Linked DNA regions of Rhinolophus ferrumequinum. The protein of the gene in region 3 binds, or shares a complex with, the protein of the main gene of each other region. Links are inferred from orthologs where the notes say so. Each region holds a gene or a part of one and is shown on either strand. Other genes may lie near its edges. The genes, in order: MED18, MED7 and MED19.

Region 1 (7,168 bases), on a different chromosome or scaffold from region 3:
CTTGCCTTCTCCCTCTCTTCTCCATACAACTGACAAGTGGTCTTTTTAGAACAAAAGGTAGATAATGACATTCCTCTGCTCAGAACCCTCCAGTGGCTTCCCACGCCATTCAGAATAAATCCCAAAGTTTTTACCATCGTCTATAAGGCCCTATAGATTGTGGTCTCTGCTACCTCTCCAACATCATTTCCTCTCACTATCCCCCCTACCTAGTTCACGCTCTCCAGCTACAGCGATCTTCCTGCTATTTCCTGAAAATGCCAAGTATCTGACAAAGTATTTCTCTTTAGTCCCCCATCCTTTAGTCCCTATGCTTAGAATATTCTTCTCTCAGATATCTGCATACCTCATCTCATGACTTTCTTTAGATGTTTTCTCAAGTGTTATTTTATTAGAGAGATCTTTCTGATCACCCTAAAAAAAATAGTATATTTTCCTTCAATTTCTTCCCACTTCCCTGCTTTATTTTTCTTTAACATTACCACCTTTGGTTTAGTCATCCTTTAATATATTAATTATGGATTGATTTTGTTATCTTTCTTCCTCCATTTCTGATACTCCAATGGTAGGAACACATTCAAATATTTATTGAATACATCTGTTAATAGAGTAATAAAGCAAATAGAGTATATGATCGTAACTGTGGAAAATATTGATAGGAGGACTCACTTGACTAAATTTTTGGAAATTGGTAATGTTGAAGGAAAAGCAACAGATTAGGTCTCAGTTATCATAGCACAAGATCACCGGAGCAGGAAATGGATCCTACATTTGATACATTGTAGCATATATTTAGGACAGTATCAAAAATATGTTTGTTCATTCTTCAAACAGTTGATGAGCTTTGTAAGCGTTGGTTCATTCAAAGTATACTCATTGAATGCTTTGCCAAGCTATGCTAGGAAGTAGGGGGCTTGCCCTCACAGAAACTACAGTTTAGTAGGGGAAAATAAAAAATAATTAAGTAAACATATAAACAGACACACAAAGAAGTAAAAGGGAGATGGGTTAGAGAACAACGGGTGGGGGTGGAGAAAGACACCTCCCTGAGGGGTTGGAATAGTGAGAGATCTAAGGGAATGACAACTGAGCTGCGACCAGGATAAAAATAAGGTGTTTATTTGAAAAAGGTATTGGGGCAGAGGGATAATCAAATGCAAAAGCACAGAATAAGAAAAGGGCCTGAGGAACTTAAGGAAATGAAAGGATATCAGTGTGGCTGAAGTGTAGTGAGTGAGATGGCAAATGATAATGAAATGAGGAATTGCCATGGGCCAAAGCCTGCAGGCCTTACATATGGTCCATGATAAAGGCTGCATTTTATTCTAAGGTCATTGGGCAGCTATTAGTTCCACATTTTATTCTCCACACAATAGGGAAAGACATGAATAGATTTACATCTTAAAAAGATCATTCCAGGGCAGCTGACTGGCTCAGTAGTTAGAGTGTGGTGCTCATTAACACCAAGGTCGCAGGTTCGATTCCCACATGGGCCAGTGAGCTGCACCCTCCACAACTAGATTGAAAACAATGAGGAAACAACAACTTGACATGGAGCTGATGGGTCCTGGAAAAACACTGTTCCCCAATATTCCCCAATAAAAATAAAAATAACTAATTCCAGGAAAACTGATGGACTCCACCAAGACACAGTCATGGGGGAAAAAAGTGGGGGCAAAGGTAGACTGGTCCAAATTAAAAGACTTAAAAGACACAATTATCAAACGTAATGCATTAAACCTGATTGCATCCTGGTTACAAATCACATTTTTGGGACAATTAGGGGGAAATTTTTGAATATAGACTAGGTATTAGATGATACTAAAAATATATTATTCATTTTTTAAGATAATAATGATGGTATTGGGGTTATGAAGGAAAATATACTTTTTTTAAAGAGATGTATACTGAAGTGTCCAGGGATAAAATGTTATGAGGTCTGAAATTTTCTTTAAAAACAGCAAAAGAAAAAAGATGAAGCAAATATGGCAAAATTATGGAAACTGAAATCTAGATGATGGAAATGTAGTGTCTACTATAATAGTCTCTATTTTCTATATGTTTGAATTTTTGAATAATAAAACAAGTTTTTAAAAGATGACTAGCTATTGTGTGAGAAGAAATGATCAAAAGTAGAAGCAATGTAGTAAGTGAGAGATTGCTAAAACAATTCAGGGATGATAAACCAGGGTGTGGTACTGCAGGTGGAGAAAAGACACATTTAAAGTATATTTTGGAAGTAAAATGAATAGGACTTAGAGATATACTAGATGTAGGATAAAGGAAAAAATGGAGATTGACTCCTGAATGCTTGGCTCAAGCAACTGGTGAATGGCAGTGGCTCTTACCAAAACGGGAAAGACCGAAAGAGGAGGAGCTTGAGGAGTGAAAATTAATAACCCTATTTTGTTCATATGAAGTTACTAAATGAAGGATCTGAATTAAAGCCTAAACTCTTTCACTAAACATTATATGACCTTCTGAAAATCATTAACCTTTCTGGGTCTCGAGTTTTCTCCTCTGGGCAAGTTACTTTACCTGTTTCCTGATCTATAAGATGGAGCTAACTAATAAGAGTATCATAGAATTACCATATGATCCAGCAATCCCACTTCTGGGTATATATCCAAAAGAATTCAAAGCAGGATCTTGGAGAGATATTTGCACACGCATGTTGATTACAGCATTATTCACAATAACCAAGAGGTGGAAGCAATCCAAATGTCCATCAACAGATGTACAGGTAAAGAAATGTGGTATATACATAAAATTGAATATTATTCAGCCTTAAAGAAGGGGATCCTGTCACATACTACAATATGGATGACTTGAGGCTAAGTGACATAAGCCTGTCTGTCATAAAAAGACTAAAGTTCTATGATTCCACTCATAGGAGGTATCTAAAGTAGTCAAAATCAAAAACAGAAAGTAGAAAGGTGGTTGCCAAGGGCTGGGGGTGGGAAGGAGGGGAATTAAGTGTTTCATGGGTATAGTGTTGCAGTTTTGCAAGATGAAAAAGTTCTAGAGATCATCTATACAACAATGTGAATATACGTAACACTGCTGAACTGTAGATGTGAAAATGTTTAAGATGGTAAATTTAACGTTATGCGTTTGTGACCATAAATAAAAGTAAACTTTTTTAAAAAAGTCTATTGGGTTACGCAGGCTGCTTTGGCCTAACAGGCTCTCATCTCCACAGAAGCTGAACAGAAAAGAGGAAAACAGGTAATCCAAGCGCTCAGGTTCACTTACCCTGCAGCAGGTACTCCATCATGTTAATGGTGCCTCCAGTGACAGGCATCATGGTGACCGGAGGTGCCTCCATGGTGTCTAATTAAGTTGAAGAATTTAGACTGGATTCCGAGTCCCCAATCAAGAAAAGCACAGGATACACCTGGAGAAGAATTACACTACTTAGTACATCAGAGAGGTAAAGACACCAGATCTGCTTCTGTCATTGGTCTTAACATCAAGATTCACTGGTTCACTCAAAACTTTTTGAGTAACTGCTATGGTCCAGTTTCAGGAACTAATGATATAGAAATACACAAAGGAAACCCGACCACGGAGTTAGAGCACAATTTTCTACCCTCAAGGTCTGAAATCTTTACAAACGTTCTGTTCAATCTTGAAGAAGTCATCAAACCTCTCACCCTGGGACTCAACGTCTTCCTTGTAAAATGGGGTCAACGATATTTAGCCCCCAAGACTTTCTGGCTCAGATGACATAATGGACATATAATAATACTCAGAAAAACTGAACGGTGACTAAGGGACTTGCCTGTCCTTCAATATATAGATGAGGAAGGATACTGAGCAGCGGAGAAGAGCCCAAGGACACAGTCAACTGGTAGCAGAGCGCGCACCAGAATAAAATCCGGGCGTTCCGCCTCTCTGAAAACGGCTTTTAAAGCGAGCCAGGCGGAAGCGCGAAGTTAAGATGATGGTTTAGGTGCTCCTAAACCAGCATCGAGAACACGTGACCACTTACACCTCCGTGCGCGCTCTACCCTCTTCTCATAAAGCGGAGAATTATATCTACCCAAGCATTTCTAAGCTTAAGAGCGACAATTAGCCCCCCGCCTTAAAATTCAAACCCCTGGACATTGCAACACTCCTTCCTCCTCTTCTCGCTTCCGGCCAAGAAGCCGACGTAGTACAAACCTCCCCACCGCCGCCGCCGCCGCGCAGCCTAAGGGTACCGACAGGGCTTGAAATCGCTCTTTGACCGGCAAGCAGAAGCGCATGCGCAAGATGCGACACTGCTGCTTGGAAGATGGCGGCCTCCGTGGAAGCGTTCTTCTGGGAGTTACGGGGTGGAGGGAAAACCTTGACGTCATAGGCTGTCCTCCAGGACATTTTTTTTTTTTTCTAGTTCGACGACCTGGAGATGTTTTTGTCTAGGAAATCTCTTGGAACTGACGAGGGGGGGAAGAGAGCCTGGGGAAGGGAGCTGCAGAATAAAGAGAGACTATTTATAAAACAAAGACTTTTTGTTGGGTACCTGAAGGTGAAAAGAAAAGACATTTGCTGCTTAGCATAATGTTCTGAACAATTAAAGAGCTCAACAATACACTTAATATTTGTTCACTTTACTGTGTATATTTTAACTTCAATTTAAAAATATAGAGTGTTAAGTAAATTCAACGAGTATTTATTGAACGCTACTTATGTGTCATGCAGATAGGAGAGGGCGGACAAAGTGGGGACTAAAGTTAAGTGAATGAGGCACTCTCCTGGAGCAAAAAATTTAAGGGGACACCAAAAAACTCAGTAACTAAGATAAATAATACTTTAATGCAACATTTTACAAATTTAATACCAAAAAACCATTAATGAACAAAATATCAAAATTTCAAATTTGGATCTTCACAGCAGCCCTAGAAGCCAAGTATTCCTGTAATTTTACAGATGGGGAGACGTAGGCAAGAAGTTAAAAAACGTGCGAGGGAGTGGAGAAGCAGGGATACAGATCTAAGCTGCTGATTCCAGAGCCCAAGCTCTTAAATTATTACATTAAACGGACACTTCTAGCTCTAGCTCCCCCACTGGAATCTATACTACTGCCCATTCATTCATTTTTTTAAATTGAATATTTCTTGAAAGTCTGTTGTGTTCTAGACATTCTGTTAACTGTTGTTGACTTTATCTCTGCCCTCAAAAGGGTTTATGGGCAAGTTGTGGCAATCAGAATTAAACGGAGACAGTACCATGTGATTCGATTTAATAGGATAATGGAATATAAATAGCTCAGCTGCTTGGGAAACAACCAGTTTGCTTGATTCATCTTGGGGGCATCAGGGGAGGATTCCTGGAAAAGGTAATTAATGCTGGGGTGGCCGGATGGCTCAGTTGGTTACAGCGTGAGCTCTTAAAACAAGGTTGCTGGTTGGTATGGTGGGCTGTGTTCCCTGCAACTAAAGATTGAAAACAGCGACTGGAATTGGAGCTGAGCTGCGCCCTCCACAACTAGATTGAAGGACAACGACTTGGAGCTAATGGGGCCTGGAGAAACACACTGTCCCCCAATATTTCCCAATAAAATTTATTTTTTAAAAAAGTAATTAATGGGGGCCGGCCCGGTGGCTCAGGTGGTTGGAGCTCCTGCTCCTAACTCCGAAGGCTGCTGGTTCGATTCCCACATGGGCCAGTGGGCTCTCAACCACAAGGTTGCCAATTCAATTCCTCGAGTCCGTCAAGGGATGGTGGGCTCCTCCCCCTGCAACTAAGATTGAACATGGCACCTGAGCTGAGCTGCCACTGAGCTCCCAGATGTCTCAGTTGGTTGAAGCGTGGGCTCTCAACCACAAGGTTGCCGGTTTGACTCCAGCAAGGGATGGTGGGCTGCGCCCCCTGCAACTAGCAATGGCAACTGAGCTGCGCCCTCCACAACTAAGACTGAAAGGACAACAACTTGTAGCTGAATGGCACCCTCCACATCTAAGATTGAAAGGACAACAACTTGACTTAGGAAAAAAAAAAAAGTCCTGGAAGTACACACTGTTCCCCAATAAAGTCCTGTTCCCCTTCCCCAATAAAATAATAAATAATAATAATAATAATAATAAAGTAATTAATGCCTAAAGTAACCTGAAGGAACAATACCGTGTTTCCCCCAAAATAAGACTGGGTCTTATATTAATTTTTGCTCCAAAAGACACGTTAGGGGGATGTTCAGAGGATGTCATCCTGAAAAATCATTCTAGGGCTTATTTTCCGGTTAGGTCTTATTTTCGGGGATTCACGGTGGGTGTCAGCCAGATAAAGAAGGGAGGAAAGGGAATTCTAGGTAGTGGGAACAACATGTATATAAGGTCATTGAGTTCAATAGAATTAGGATACAGAATCTGAGGTTAGAAGGGATGAGAAATGAGTCTGGAGGAGTTGGGCCCAGATTCTGGAGGATTTTTCACATCAGACTAAAGTAGAGATGTGAGCTTTAAAGAGCTCACTCTGGCTGCAATGTGGAGAAAAGCTTCGGAAAGGAGGGCCTGGAGAAATAAGACCAGTTAGGAGCTTTGGCACAACTCCAAATGAGAGATAATTGCAGAAGAAAAGACAGATTTTAAAAATATAAGAGAATCATTTGATGAGTAAACAGGTAAAGACAGGGAGAGGGAGTCACAAATGTCTAAATTTCTACCTTGGATGCCATAGTAATGCTTTTTTCTGAGCTAAGAAACACGAAGTCATGTAGGTGAGGCAGGAAAGATGAGTTCATATGTAGATACAATAAGCATGAGGTGTTTCAGGAACACCCAAGTGCAGTGCCCAGCCGATGTGCAGGGGAGAGAGAGCTGGGCTAGAGGTAGAGATTTCAGAGTCAGAGCTTCAAAAACAGTAGCTAAAGGCATGAGAACAAATGAGATTACCCTGAAAGAGTGTACAGAATAGGAAGAGAAGATGGCTAAGAACTGAAACTTGTATAGGATTCTGACAGTTATTTGAGCTGTGTATACCCCAGGGCTTAGGATGTGCCTCCTGATAAGCCTGGTGGTTCACAATATTGGGCAGAATGACAAGTTCTCAGTGCTGTAATGACTGGAGGAGGTTGTAAAATTGCTGGGCCTCTCTTTTCCTATATAGACATCAACCAGAATGGAAAATTTAGTGAATCATGGGTTCTTTGAGGCACCAAAGTATTTACTCAAATTTTAGCTGGCAT
Region 2 (7,168 bases), on a different chromosome or scaffold from region 3:
TGGCCATCAAACCAGCAGACGAGAAGAGAATGGAGATCAGATCATCTAAGAAATTTTTATGGGGCAGGCCTGGATTTTGACCCCCATATTCCACTAAGAACTTAGTCACATGGCATTACATAGATGCAAAGGGATTGGAGAAATGTAGTCCCTTGTAGGGAAGCCTTAGCTCAGCAACATATCTCAAGGGAGCAAGAATCAATCTCCAGTAAACATCTACCAGTCTCTGCCACCAAACCCCCTTCCCTGCTTTTCGCAGCTTCCAGCCTTAAGCAAGTCTGAGTTTAACTTTAAAGGAAATGTATAGCTAATTACATAGACATTTTAATTACTAAAATGTACGTTTGCACCTAAATGTGATCAAAGGAGTTTTACCTGAGTGACTGAAAAAAGTCATGGGACCCATCCAGGACAGGGACAAGAGGCTGAGACAGTGTATTTACAGAAACAGTCAGGAGGAAAAATAAAATTGCTGTTTTATAACTCTATGGGTATCTCTCCTTAAACATGTTACAATACTTTAGAAATTAAGCAAATTTTTAAGTAAAATCAAAGATTTCATAATTTCACATTTATACAGCTTAGTATCCTTTATTTACCTATCATTCTTAAAACAAATGACAAATCAACTTTTTTTGAGGATGAAAGCTTGCTATTATTGAGGATTATCTTCAACATTTACTGCAACTCCAAAAACAGGAATGGTCCACCCAACAGCAGCACTGTGATTTTTCAGCTGATGCCTCTGAATGTCATCATACTCATTTGTCTATGTTTGCCACAAAGTGAAACTACTGTCTGTGACATCTCCTAATTGATAAAGTTGGAAAGTGAAGCTGTTTACATAATTCCTACTCATCTCTCTTGTAGACTCTTCAAGAGCAAATTAACTAATATATGATGCTATTTACTGAAAGGGAAAAAAGAAGAAGAAGAAACATCCTTCACGGTCTTTCATTCATTTCATCAATTAGAACACACAAGGCAGCATCTTTTTCTATAATCTGGTCTCTTCGATGACCTGAATTTTCTCTTTGTTGTTCATTCTGTCCAGTACAATTGTTGCTATCATCAGCGTCCATTGGTTCAGTTTTTACTCTCATCCCTGCTTCTGAATGGGGCAAATCATCAGGCAAAGAAGCTAAGCAATTTTGAATCATCTCAATGACTCGTTCCAGATGCTTTTGAAACCGCTCAGCTGTTTCAAGGCGTTGACGTTTCTGCACCTCCATCATGACTCTCAAGGTCTCTCTTGCTTGGTGGGGTCGATATTCATTTATGAGATGATGCACATGTACAAAAAGCAGCTTAAGATCTTCTAGCTTCTCTTCTCGTTTTATACTCCCTGGGCTCCTTATCAATATATCTAAGAGGTCTAAGAAATTAATAAGGATAGACATATTGAGTTTTCTCAGTTCTTTCTTGTGATCAAACTGCATAGGATGAAGCCGTTCGATGCCCTGACTTTCTAAAGGGCGGATGATAAGATCATCACATTGGAACTGGTTGCCAAACATCATGTAACTGTCTTTTATTGGAGGTGGAGGCTTGGGGGCTAGGCCCTCCTGAATATTTTCATCTGTATACTCCTTGATGTACTGCATTGGAGGTGGTGGAAGGGCACTCACTTGCTGTGGCTCACCCATTGTGGAAGATCAATAACCTACAGAAATAGACCAAAGATTTAGAGTACCTGTACAAAACAAACCTGTCACATTGGGTGACTAGAGACAGAATTTTTGACAATCACAGTCCTCACTGCGTTCACAACCTTATACACAGGAGCTTCATAAATATTTGTTGAGGAGCTCCACCCATTTCAATAGGGCTCCAAATCAATGGGAATTTGGAAGTAGGTACAAACATCTTTAATGTGTACTCATTCCTTCATAAATTTATTGTTTGGTATGACAATGACTATACATAGATTATGATGACAGATAATATTTGAGTACATACTATGTACAGACACTGCTCTAAATACTTTTCTCATGGTTGTGAGAAATCTGAGAAAAGAAAGGCGCTCTTTCCATTTTAGAGATGAGAAAACTGTGGCTCAAAAAGGTTGAACCACTTGTGGTAAGTCATAGTGTAAATACTAGAGGAAGGATCCAGAGCCTAAAGATCTCAAACACTACACTAACTACCTTTCAAGGATAAACAAAAAACACTGCCTCCATCCCAGTGTTGCTTACAAGTTATCAAGAAAATAAATACGTTTTAAGGCCAATAGATCTACCTACCAAAAATAAATCTAACAGACAAAAGAATGGTGGTTATCAAAGGGAAAGAGGGTTGGGGGGAGGATAAAGAGGATAAAGGGTCAAATATATGGTGACGGAAGGAGATTAGACTTTGGGTGGTGGGCACACAATAGAATATACAGATGTTGTATTATGAAAATGTACATCTGAAACTTATATAATGTTATTAATTACCAACGACACCCCAATAAATTTAATAAAAATAAATCAATCTAAAAATTCCATATAGGAAAATATCTCATAAGCAAAAATAAAAGGTAATCCCATCTTTCTGGGAGAAGAATGCTTGCAAACTAACAAAGACCAAATATTAGAAATTTTATTTTGATTTTTTTAAAAACATGTTTTCTGACTCCATCCCCACTAGAAGGAAAGTACTATGACTTCAGGAATTGCCTATCTCATTCACAATTCACCTCCAGCACCTCAAACAATGCCTAGAAGGTGCTAGATACTTATAAAGGTCCACTGAATGAGTTTTAAGTCTACATTAAAAAAAGAAAATAGGCAAAAAGGACAAGAAAAATGCAAATGTTAAATAAAGGTGGGAAACTTAAGACTAATGTACTTTTAAAAGCAAATTTTTAAAAGGATAGCTTTCATCTAACAGACTATCAAGATTTCAAATATTCCATCATTCAGCAAATATAAGAACACCTTCTATGTGGCAGGTCCTGGATTCTAACAGAGGTCACAAACTCTCCTACCTCTCAGTTTCTTCAGAGTGGCTACCCCAATTTTATTAGCAGGCTTTTAGCTATCCTGGCCTGTCAGAGAAGCCTTCTGGGATGGAGAGCATCCACTCACCTTAGCTCTCATGGAAGCCACCATAAGGACTACCACGTAACACTTGTAGGTGGTAGGCCAGTACCACCCGAGAGAATATAGGAAATTCTCATTCACAATTGATAGAAAAGGAAACAAATACATATTTGGAATTTAATTTGGCAGTACCAAAAATTTTAATGATGATATTCTTTGAACCAACAATTCTATTTCTAGGTATTTATCTTATAAAAGTATTGGCACAAGCACACACACAAAAAAATTTGTATAAATATGTTTAACGTAGCACTGCTTGAAAAGAGTAGGAAAAGTTGGAATTAATCCATGGTTTTATCTATATGAAGGCTGGATAAAAGATGTCTACATAATACAATACAGCCATTAAGGAAAAAGGAGTGCAAGTGAGTGCATGGGGTGGGGCTTTATTTACAAACACTGTGTACTGTTTCATTTATTTACAAACTTATGACAGTTGCAAACAGTTACAATCAACTTTTTAAAACTTTCTAACAGAAATTCAGACTTACAGAAACACTGTATGAATAGCACAAAGAACATCTGTGTTCTTCACCCAGATTCTCCAAATGTTAACATTTTCCTTATTCGCCCTATTACCCTCAAATATCCCCCAACCATAATGTTCTCTTTTAAGGAATTTAATTACCAAATCAGAGAATTAGCATTGACCTGGCACTTCAACGGAAATGTTAGACAGCCCAGGTTTCACCCCACGCAAGCCTTTTTAGGTTGTGAGTCCTGTTTTGTGCTTCCCAGCACCACGTGCCTTCCTCTAGTATTTAAGTTGCCATTTTCCAAAGACCGACTACATGACAGGTACCATTGTTTTATGTTCTCTTACTTAATCTTCAGAACAATTCTGAGTGAAGCACTATTATTATTTTCACTAGAGATAAGGATCCCAAGTCTCCATGAGGGGAAATGTTTGCACCAGATCACAAGGTTAGTAAATGGTACACAGCGGGAATTCTTACCTCTGGTCCTTTTAGCTGCGCAGCACAAGTTCTTTGAAATCAGTAAACTGTGAAGCTTCTAACTGTACAAAAGGAACTTGATATGTTACAGAAATTCTGTTTATTTCTCCATTACTTCTCTCGACTGAACTACTCAAAAGCGATAGAGGTCTTTGGTAAAAATAATACCAGGTATCCTAGCCGGTGATCAGACTCAAGAGCCACCCTCCAGTTTGCTCCTTTCTGGGGGGCTTAACAAAAAAAGAAAGGCATTCCAGGGCCCCCCCCGCCCCGTCATGTCATCTGCTTCACTTTGTCTACAGTGAATGGGGCTGCTAACAAAGTAATTTTTAAAACCTCTCAGAGGATCCTTTTGACGATTAGCCTTGGGGTGTTCCCTGAAGAGGAAAGAGAGGAATGGCATCCTCCTCTTACAAAGGCCGGAGAGACCGAATAACTCGCCAAGGCCACACCGCTTAGCAAACCGGCGGCGCGGGACTAGAACCCACGTCTCCCAAGCTCCGGTCCAGCGCGGCCTCCCACACGGAGGAAGCGCCGAGCCCGGGCTGTCCACGAGCGGCGGGGAGGCCGCGCTCTCAGAGGGGACGCGGGAGAGGAAGGCGAGCGAGCTCACTGCGCGCCAGCCCCCCATTCCCAATCCGCCCAAAGTCTCGGGGTCCGGAAAGAGAAACACGCGCGGAACGGAGCCCCAAACCGTCGCCGCCCACTCACCTCAGCTCTGGGTTTGTTTACTCCGGTAGCGTCCTTCGCCACCGCCGCCGAAATTCTACTTCCGGCGTCGTCTTCCAGGAAAAACTCACTGACGCTCTTTCTTTATTGACTGAAAGAGCTGTCCTTTAACCGAGGCTCTAGCCCCGCCTCAGACCGCTGGCTCGCTACTACGCATGCGCCTACCCTGGCGCCTCATTCCCGCTGAGTTCCATTGGGTGGCGTGATCGCCGGCGGGGTTTAAAGTAGGCTAGGTCCTCTCTGTACTGGCTTCTATCAGTAAACGTCGCAGCTGGTAGCTCCGTTTCTCTTTTCTTTTTTCTTTTCTTTTTTTTTTAAATTAAACGAGGCATCTATATGTCTTACATAAAAGTTAGAAAATACAGATGAGCAGATATTTTTAAAAACTATGTCGATTCTAATTAACCCCACTGTCAAAAATATTTTAAAAGATGAGATTGGATTCTATGTGATATATATGTGTGTGTGTATATATATATATTTTTATATATGTTCCATATATTATATATATATATATATATGAATCTGGAAGTATTTGTGACCGTGATTGGGAATCAATAATACATTTTCAATTTCCTTTTCTTCACCGTTCACTTTTATTTTTGTTTAGGGATTAAGAGATGTCTATATTATTTCCGGGCAACAAATTAGCACGTTTAAAAAAAAAAAAACAGACTTAAAGTTTTCTTTTGGAGGTTATTTTCATTAGAAGTGTCACAAATTTCTAAATTCATGGGAATCTTACAAGAGCATGTTGCACGTAAAAAGTAAGTTTGTTATTCTGGTAGAAGTTCTCAATTTTACCTCTTTAAAATAAGAGTCTTTGATTTTATTTCTTAAAAACTTCTATGGAGAGTTCCAAATGTCAGCAAAAGGTCACTGCCACCAATTTAATGCCAACAGGAGTCCTCAGTCTAGGGTGCAGTAAGAGGAGAAACTGCTCAGGTAAACAGTTTGCAAAAGTGGGAAACACATAGGAAACCTAAATTGCACCCCACCCGGAAACAAACACAGAGGAGAAGCCACTTTATATTATAAAGTTCCTGCTCTAGTCCCTGATTGGTCCATTTCTATGCAAATGAGGGATCAAAATTTATAGAGTTTGATTGGTCTAAATAGCACTGTCCTGATTGGTCGGAATTACACGTTCCTATTGGTTGTTATGGACTTGCTCTGATTGGTCAGTAAAGTTGCAAATGAAACTATAGCTGTGCAATTCCCATTGGACAGGGCAGGTTTCAGCCCATTGGTGGAAAGACTATACCAGGAACTCCTTTATAAGGCTTGACTCACAGGCAGGAACACAGTACAAGACACTGTGTTTTTCCCCTGAGATGTAGAGTACCTGAGGGGCTTCTGTAGGCAATGGCTGCTAGACTCTGGTTATGAATTTGTACCCAGTTAACCATGATGAGTCCTTGGAAGATATTTTCTTTCTCAGGGTTCACACAAAAAAGTAGAGAGAACGGTGTACTCATCACCCAACTTCAACACTTATCTACTTATAGATATTATTTTATTTCCACAAGCATCACTGAAAGATAAGGACTCTCATTTTTTTCATATAACACAGAACTCACTTTAAAATAAATAGTTGCTGAATAGCATCAAAATCAAGTCAACATTTGGACACCAATTGCCTCAGGATCCAATAAAACCCTCCCCTTTTGTGACTGGCTAATATGTCTTTTAATTATGTTTTAATCTATAGTTTCCTGCCCTCACCTCAATTTTCCTCCCATATCAATTTATTTGTTGAAGAAATCCATTCACTTTTGAGCATACCCTAATCAGGCATCTCTCCCCACCAAAGATCAATGTGACCCACACCTGTGACCTCCAATGGTCATTCTTAGTTCTCATTTTACTCCACTCTCAGCAACATTGGGCATATTTGATCATTTGAATTGACCCAGGACTCAATTTTTACTTTTTAGTGGGATATCATCCAGGTGATAACATCCAGGTGATATGCAGGCTCTGGCAACACCCTCTCCTTTGCAGTCAGATCCCCTTATCCAACAGTATTCCACATATTTACTCAATTTCACTTCACTCAATTGCAAAAGCTCAAATCTAAAGATTCATCTTTTACTCTTTCTCCCATACTCTTTCAAAACTACCATAACAGCCTTTTGTATTAGTTCTATTTAGAAACAAGTAAAAGTCCCCAATACAGTATAACTCATTTTCACCATCTCCACTGCTATATTCCTAGTCCATGCCACCATTATGTCCCTTAGACTTCTGCAATAGCTTCCTAAATGGCTTCCTTGCTTCCACTTTTGTCCTCCCTTAGCCTACTTACCACACTGTCTTAAAATATAAGATAGATCTGACCAGTCCTCTGTTCAAAATTCTTCATGGTTTTCTATCATATTTACAATAAAATCTAAT
Region 3 (7,168 bases):
CTGGGTACGGCTCTGCTTGTGCTTGTGCTTGTTCTTCTTCTTGGGAGGCTGAATGTGCATCAGACGACACTGCTCCGGCAACTGAAGGAACCAAAGGGAGGTCCAGGTGAGTGGAGTGAGGAAATCCCTTGCTCCCATCATCTGGTCTGCTCAGTAAGTTAGGAAGGAACAGACTTGGACAGAAAAACTACCTCCATGCCTTTCAGGCCTCCCCATTTGCCTTCTTCCTCCCCAAGAGGGGACTCACCGGGCCAGTGTGGAGGCGGAAACCAGCCAGCATGGTCCCTGTGATAGGATTGAAAGAGCCACCGAGAATAGGGGGCTTCTCGATGAGGGAGCGGAGGCTGCTGTTATCATGGGAACCAGGCAGATCAATCATCCCTGGCAGGTCAGGCAGGAAGTTACTCAGCTTCTCCTTCACTTTCTTCCCACAAAATTTATTATAGTCATGTTCCAGGTTGTAGTGTGTGATCAGGTTGGTGCTGCCTGTCAACTCGGTGCTACCTAGAGGACACAGGGAGGAGGATAAAATATTAGTCCCAAGAGTAGAAAATTGTTAAGTCACCCAGAGGGACTATATTTTAGCCTAAATAAGGAATCCTTCAAGTGAGAATTACTAAAATATTTAAATTTATTTTTAAATAATAGCAAAAGTAAATAACATGAACTAAAACCACAATACTAAAGAAGGGTAGGTTGGAATGGGAATGAGGGGAAAAAAGGCAAAAATCCAAATAGGGCAGAGATGGAAACTGCTCTCACCCAAAGAAGAAGACACTTCTCTCCTTGGACTAAGCACAATAACTTCCATGATGCTTACTCTGTGCTGAACACTGATCTGAGTGCTTTTCATAGAAAGGGATAGTGCGAAATTATACTCCCTAACACGACCGGGATAGTAGTACCTCACAGCCCAGCTACAACCAAGCTAAGAGCCAAATATGACCCAATGGCTTCCTTTTTTTTCTCTCCAAACACTGATCACCTTTACACAGAAAAAACAGCCAGGAGATTTTTCTAGCTACTGTTGTCTAACTTATTATCACCATCTTTATTCCTCCTCATAATAATGAGTATAATGCTTTGCCTAGAAAAAAGAAATGTTTGATTAGAAGCTGGGCAACTAGAATTCTAATCCTAGATGTCCTCTATGCCTCAGTTTCTTATCTATGGAATGTGGTAATAACTATCTTAAGTGCGTTAAATTTTTTTGCAAGGTTCAAATGAAAACATACTGAAAAATATAAAGTATTATATAAATGTGAGGCAATCTCAGCATAAATATTGTATATCTGACTTTTGCCAAATAATGTAAACTCATTAGTAATTTAATAAGGATCCCAGTGGCAAGGGTGGGAATATCTAGCCTACAAGTTCATCTAGAGTTATGATAAACACAAAGGGTAAAATGACAAAAGTTGCTTGTTTATAATCCTTCACTTGGGAAAACTCAGGTTCTGAACTGTGAGCCCTGAGGGCAGACAATGCCTTGTTCACTCATGTATGGCTGATGCCCAAACCAGCCACACTTGGTGCTCAATAACTATTAAATGAACAAGGAATTTTTTTCCCTTCATACCTCTAGGCATTACCCTATTCTTTTTCTGTATTTTCATATCAAACATCTCAGAAAAGTGATCTGTTACTATCAGAGGCTCAGTGCCACACTGCCTTTCCTCATAACTTGGCACTACCTTATGCCATTACAGTGTCCTGAGTTCCCCCGCCCCAGTCAGCTCTCCTCCTTCCAGGTGGTTATGCTCAAGGCTCAGGTGAAACGGCACTTTGCTATTTCTGAGTCCATCCAACTTTCTATCAGTTCTATGAAGATGATTTATAAATCTCTCTCTCCGGCCCTGACTCCTTTCCTGAAAACTAATCTTGTATTTCCAACTTCCACTTAGTCAATTCCATGCAGATTCTATTTTTTTTTTAAAACTCTGAATCTTCCTCACTTCATTGATGGTTTCTCTATTTCAATACATGGCACACCCATTTTCGAGATATTTTTAGAAGCAATACTCCTCAGTTCAAAAATCAGTGGTTTCCTATTACTCTCAGGAAAAAGCTCAATTCCTTTGACTGGCACTCATGGTTAAACACATCTTACTGTAACTTAGCTTTGGGGCCCACTCAACCATCAGTCCCCTATGCAAACTTTCTGATCCATCCAAAATGGGTCTCCATTATCTCCTGAAAAAAAAACAAAACACCCTCATAGTGTTTCCTTTTAAGAAATTTCTGTCAGGAAAATTTCTGTTAGGACCTAATTATAGGAAAATTCTTCCTAATATTCCTCACCAATACATGAATTCTTCAAAGTCCAGTCAAGTGACAACTTATTCTTGCTGTCATCTTTTTTTTTTTTTAAGGAGGGCACAGCTCCCAGTGGCCCATGTGGGGATCGAACTGGCAACCTTGGTGCTACCAGCACCACCCTCTAAACAACTGAGCTAACTGGCCACCCTTCTTGCTGTCATTTTGGATAACAAGGAACACATTTTGAAAACCATCATGTAGTTCTTAATAGTTGCCCTATGTGAGGCATGACCACAAAGTAATGAGATTGGCCTTGACAAGAAATATGGTCACTGTCCTCAAACCACATAATTTGCATCCCTAAGTAAAATAAGCTTTTAATCTCTCTTCTCACCACATGCCCCCACCTTTCTACACACCCCGCGTTTGTCCAGAATATCTATTCAACATCTGTCAATTAATTGAGATACAATCAGAACTGGTAAGGATAAAGAAACTGCTGGTAGACATCAACCACCAACCAACCAAAGGGAAGTCAACCTCTTTATACTTGTTTTTTAAACTATAAAGTGAAGATAATGTCTACTTCAGAGGGCTATTCTACGTATTAAATTCATTATTATTTCCCTCGACTGGTGATGTAGCAGTAGGACTTGGGATTAACTGAAAGGCATGTTGGAGTCTTAACTTGTTCAGAATGACTCTTGACTTGCACCTCTTCAAACTTGTTCCTTCCTGGTCTCCATACTACCGTCCGCTCAATTATTCAGGCCAAGAATTTACAAGTCATCCTTAACTCCTCTCTTCCTTATTTTTATATTCAGTCCTTCATTCCAGTCAGCTCTAACTTATCTTGTATGCATTCATTTGTGTCCTCTACTGCTATCATTTAGTCCAAACCATGATCTCTTAACTGGATTACTGAGCAGTTTAACTTCTGATTGATTCCCTCACATTCCATCCCTTGTGTAGCTGCTTGAATGATTAAAAATAAGTCAGATTATGTCACCATCCTGTGTTAAAATGGATTCCCCCTGAACTTAAAATCTAAATGCTTTATAAACGCCTCTGCCTGCCTGGCCCACCTATATCTTCTGTCACTCTTTCCCTGTTCACGTCACTGGAGTCCAAATGGTTTTCTATCCTTTCCAAGCTTTTTCTCACATCAGGGCTTCTGATTTCATTTCTTGTATTTAGAATTATCCCTCTCACTCCTACATAGCTGGCTCTTTTTCTATGCTTCCATTTTAGCTCAAATGGTACCTACTCAGCAAGGGCTTCTCTGATCACTTTAGCTAAAGTAGTTGTGTCCCCTTAATTCTTTGACGTGTTTTTTTTCCTTGTAGCACTAACCACTATCTGCTGTTAATCTGGTTTACTCTGCGTTCCCCCACTGAAATGTAAACTCCAAAAAAAGCAAGGATCCTGTCAGTCTCGTTCACAGTTGTATCTTCAGCATTTAGAACAGTGGTACACAGCAAATGCTCAACAAAATCACTTTCTGAAAGAATCTGATTTAATTTAATTCTGTCACTTCTTCAAACAGATGAAGAAACGCTGAGACCCTGAGGGTAACATGTTCCAAATCAAGAGCAAGTTTGTGACAGATTTGAAACGAAAACCTCAGGACCACAGTGATGTTGAATCGGGACTCTCGAGTTCCAAACTCACTCTGGATAATTTTTAGGGAACCATAATAAACCAGTGTCAGGGACAACGAACGGATATAGCGTGAAAAATGGTTACGGAGATGCATTCTCTTCCCACCTTGAATCCACCCCAAGACTCACGTCATCGGTTTGGTTGTGAATTCTCAGAGGCCTTTGGACTTAGAGCTCCAAGGGCCTAACACGCGTTGTCTAGGTTACCTTGCACCTCCGCCGGCCGGCTAAGACCCACGCCCATCACCCCCTCCTTAGGATCTGATTGGCTGGCTACGGCCAGGCCTAGTACTCACCTGGCAGTTCCCTCATTAGGTAGAAGGGACCACAACCAGCTGCTGACTTGTCGGCGCCGGGAGGGGCCGTGACCGTGGTGGGGGGCGGAGCCGTGCCAGGTCCCCCGCCTGGAGGAGGGGGAGGCGGGGGTGGAGGTTTTCCTGGTCCGAAGCCGAGTGCGGCTGGAGGCGGGGGTGGGTCAGCCTGAGCTCCGAACAGCGCCGTGAAATTCTCCATCTTCCCCTCTACTCCGGCGCTGTCCGGGTGTCTGGCGCTAGTGGTTTTCATTGGACAATCTTTTCACGGTGTACCGCCCTCTTCCTCCGTGAGCCGCTTATCATTGGATGTCTTGGGGCCCGCCTACTTTTTCCGGCAACTACTTCCGTCGCTTTCTGAGCACGTTCAGGATGTGCTATCTCACCCTATTAATTTCTCTGTTGTTTCCGCTCGTCACAGTCACATATCCAATAAAATGACTTAGGTGGAAAAAACGACAGTTAGGTTGACCAATAAAGTGTGAAATCCGTTTTTCAGGTCCTCCCTACTGTAGTGGCCAATCATAGATACACTTCCGGGTCCGGAGGCGGTGCATCCGAGACTAGGCCCAATGGAAGTCTCAATGGTGGGAGAGGCGGGGCCAGACTTATCGACCCTGAAGAGCGGCGAGCGCCCCGGGGCCAAGAAGATGGCGGTCCTGGCACCTTTAATTGCTCTGGTGTATTCGGTGCCGCGCCTTTCACGATGGCTGGCCCGACCTTACTACCTTCTGTCTGCCCTGCTCTCTGCTGCCTTCCTTCTCGTGAGGAAGCTGCCCCCGCTCTGCCACACTCTCCCCACGCAACGCGAAGATGGCAACCCGTGTGACTTTGACTGGGTGAGCGACCCCCACCTTAGGACCCCGCGACCTTGACTGTCCTTTCCCCCGCTATTGCATCCAGGGGCCCCGAAGTTTCCGTCTTTGAGAACTCACACCTGAGTTTTTCAAACTCTAGCCGACTTACCATTAAGAGCATGGGGCCTGGACCGTCATCGAGTCTAAATTTCTTCATGTTTAATTAAGATGGGAAAACAGCAGATTAGCCTGCATAACAGCCTGGGCCTTCTGATTCTTGAGTCCAGGGTTTTTTTCATCTTACCATTCATACTCGTCAACAGCACTCCCCAAACTCTACACACCTATGTACAGTCTTTTACAGTGCTGCTCATGTGTAAAGCCACTTAAGGAGCCGGGTAGATAAACAAGGCAAGTAGTAGTATTTCCTTTTTATTGGTGAAGAAATGATTTCTGCGTGATTAGGAGACTTGCCCTAGGTCACACAACGAGTGGGTGACTGGGATTGGGAACCTCTCTTCTGGCCATAGGACCTGCACACTCTTAATCACCCATTTCTTCGTTAACATTTCCTGAATGAGTGCTATATGCTAGGCACTGTGGTGCATCCCGAGGCTGCCAAAATGAATAAGGATGCCAAAATGAATAAAATTGTTAGGCTTATCGGAAAGGAATTGTAAAACATCCTAAAGAAATCTGTCTCAAGCCTCTTGCTGCACTTCCTGAGTAGGAGTGAAGGGACCACTTAGACAAATGAACTGAAGCTCTACGCCCTCTGCTGTATGGCAGCATCTGTGTTCTGAGGAAGGAGGGTCACCCTGAGTTTTTTGTCTTTTTTCCATTCCTCCCCCCAAAAATGAGCCTTGAACTTTACCAGAACTCACTCCCTTACTTTTATTCTCCATCCCTTGTTTACTCTTTCATACTTCCTCTGCCCTTTCCCAGACAGTATTATTAATTAGCTCAAGTGTAGCCATGCTACTGCAAAAGATTCCTGTTTTTATCTGATATTATATACCACTAACCAAAGTGGGACTCAAAAATATAAATGCAGGGCGCGTTTAAAGTCTGGCTTCCCAGCAGTTGTTACAGTTTGGGCTCAAATAAACTGATAAACATTCTCTAAAAACAGCAAGGAAAAAAAAAGTATACACACAGACGCACACACACACACATATAAAGATTTCAATAAGTGTAAGGACATTTTATATAATTAATTTATCTGTGTACTCTAGTATGCAAAATACTGGAAGGTTTTATATTTTGTTATTACTCTGGTACAATTTTCTTTTAACTACAGATGGTCCTTGACTTACGATTTTTCAACTTTAGAGTGGTGTGAAAGTGATATACATTCAGTAGAAACCATGCTTCGAGTTTTGAATTTTGATCTTTTTCTAGGCTAGCAGTATGTTTTATGATACTCTGTCGTGATTCTGGCCAGTGGCATTGAGCCATAGCTCCCAGTTACCCACGCCTTCAAGAGGGTGAACAACCGATACTCTATTGTGTAGTATTAAATACCTTTTCAACTTATGATATTTTCAATTTTAATGATGGGTTTATCGGGTTCATCGTGAGTCGTGGAGCATCTCTACTTAGGGTTGATATCCAGTGTTTTCCTGGAAAATCTGTGCTTTACTGAATCACCTTGGTGATTGGGAAGTTAGGATATTAGAGTAAATAATGTTAGCAATAACAGGTCAACCTCAAATTTTCAGTGGCTTAACAGAATAAAAGTTGATTTCTATTTTCTTAAAATAAAAGGAAAGAATCAAGCATTTTACTTTTCTTGTATACTATCTCAACATAACCATATAATTAATAAGGGAATGTTCGTATCTTAACAGGAGAATTTGAGCTAATAAATACAGAAGGAATGATCGAATTTAAAAATCATTTAGCAAACCCTAATGAAATAATAAACCTAGGCATTGATTGTCTGTGGATACTGACACCATCATACAGAAGGTTGATAGGTCCTCTGAAGGGATGGAATAGAGAGTATCTAGCACCACCTACGATGTATTTTTGGCAAAAGATTGGGGTTTTATTGTATTCAAACCTCTAGATTTCACTGCCACTTTACAAGAAATATGGGAGACAGATCATCATCAGAACAAATACCGTAAGTGTGCGA

The links.
Region 1: MED19 (region 3) and MED18 share a complex: the UniProt entries of both Homo sapiens proteins name them as parts of the mediator complex. The link is inferred for Rhinolophus ferrumequinum from reciprocal best matches to the Homo sapiens genes MED19 and MED18.
Region 2: MED19 (region 3) and MED7 share a complex: the UniProt entries of both Homo sapiens proteins name them as parts of the mediator complex. The link is inferred for Rhinolophus ferrumequinum from reciprocal best matches to the Homo sapiens genes MED19 and MED7.

Annotation. Positions count from the first base shown.
Region 1 is NC_046292.1:19,449,773-19,456,940, reverse strand, and holds the start of MED18 (mediator of RNA polymerase II transcription subunit 18), read right to left. Parts: upstream 4,186-7,168; 5' UTR 3,995-4,185; exon of another isoform or gene 3,398-3,994; 5' UTR 3,329-3,397; coding exon 3,256-3,328; intron 1-3,255. UniProt on the Homo sapiens protein: Component of the Mediator complex, a coactivator involved in the regulated transcription of nearly all RNA polymerase II-dependent genes.
Region 2 is NC_046307.1:27,383,017-27,390,184, forward strand, and holds MED7 (mediator of RNA polymerase II transcription subunit 7), read right to left. Parts: upstream 4,889-7,168; 5' UTR 4,754-4,888; intron 4,105-4,753; 5' UTR 4,043-4,104; intron 1,664-4,042; 5' UTR 1,647-1,663; coding exon 945-1,646; 3' UTR 452-944; downstream 1-451. UniProt on the Homo sapiens protein: Component of the Mediator complex, a coactivator involved in the regulated transcription of nearly all RNA polymerase II-dependent genes.
Region 3 is NC_046294.1:11,476,511-11,483,678, reverse strand, and holds the start of MED19 (mediator of RNA polymerase II transcription subunit 19), read right to left. Parts: upstream 4,569-7,168; 5' UTR 4,485-4,568; coding exon 4,217-4,484; intron 505-4,216; coding exon 248-504; intron 82-247; coding exon 1-81. Other genes in the region: TMX2 (thioredoxin-related transmembrane protein 2), read left to right, coding at 4,804-5,070. UniProt on the Homo sapiens protein: Component of the Mediator complex, a coactivator involved in the regulated transcription of nearly all RNA polymerase II-dependent genes.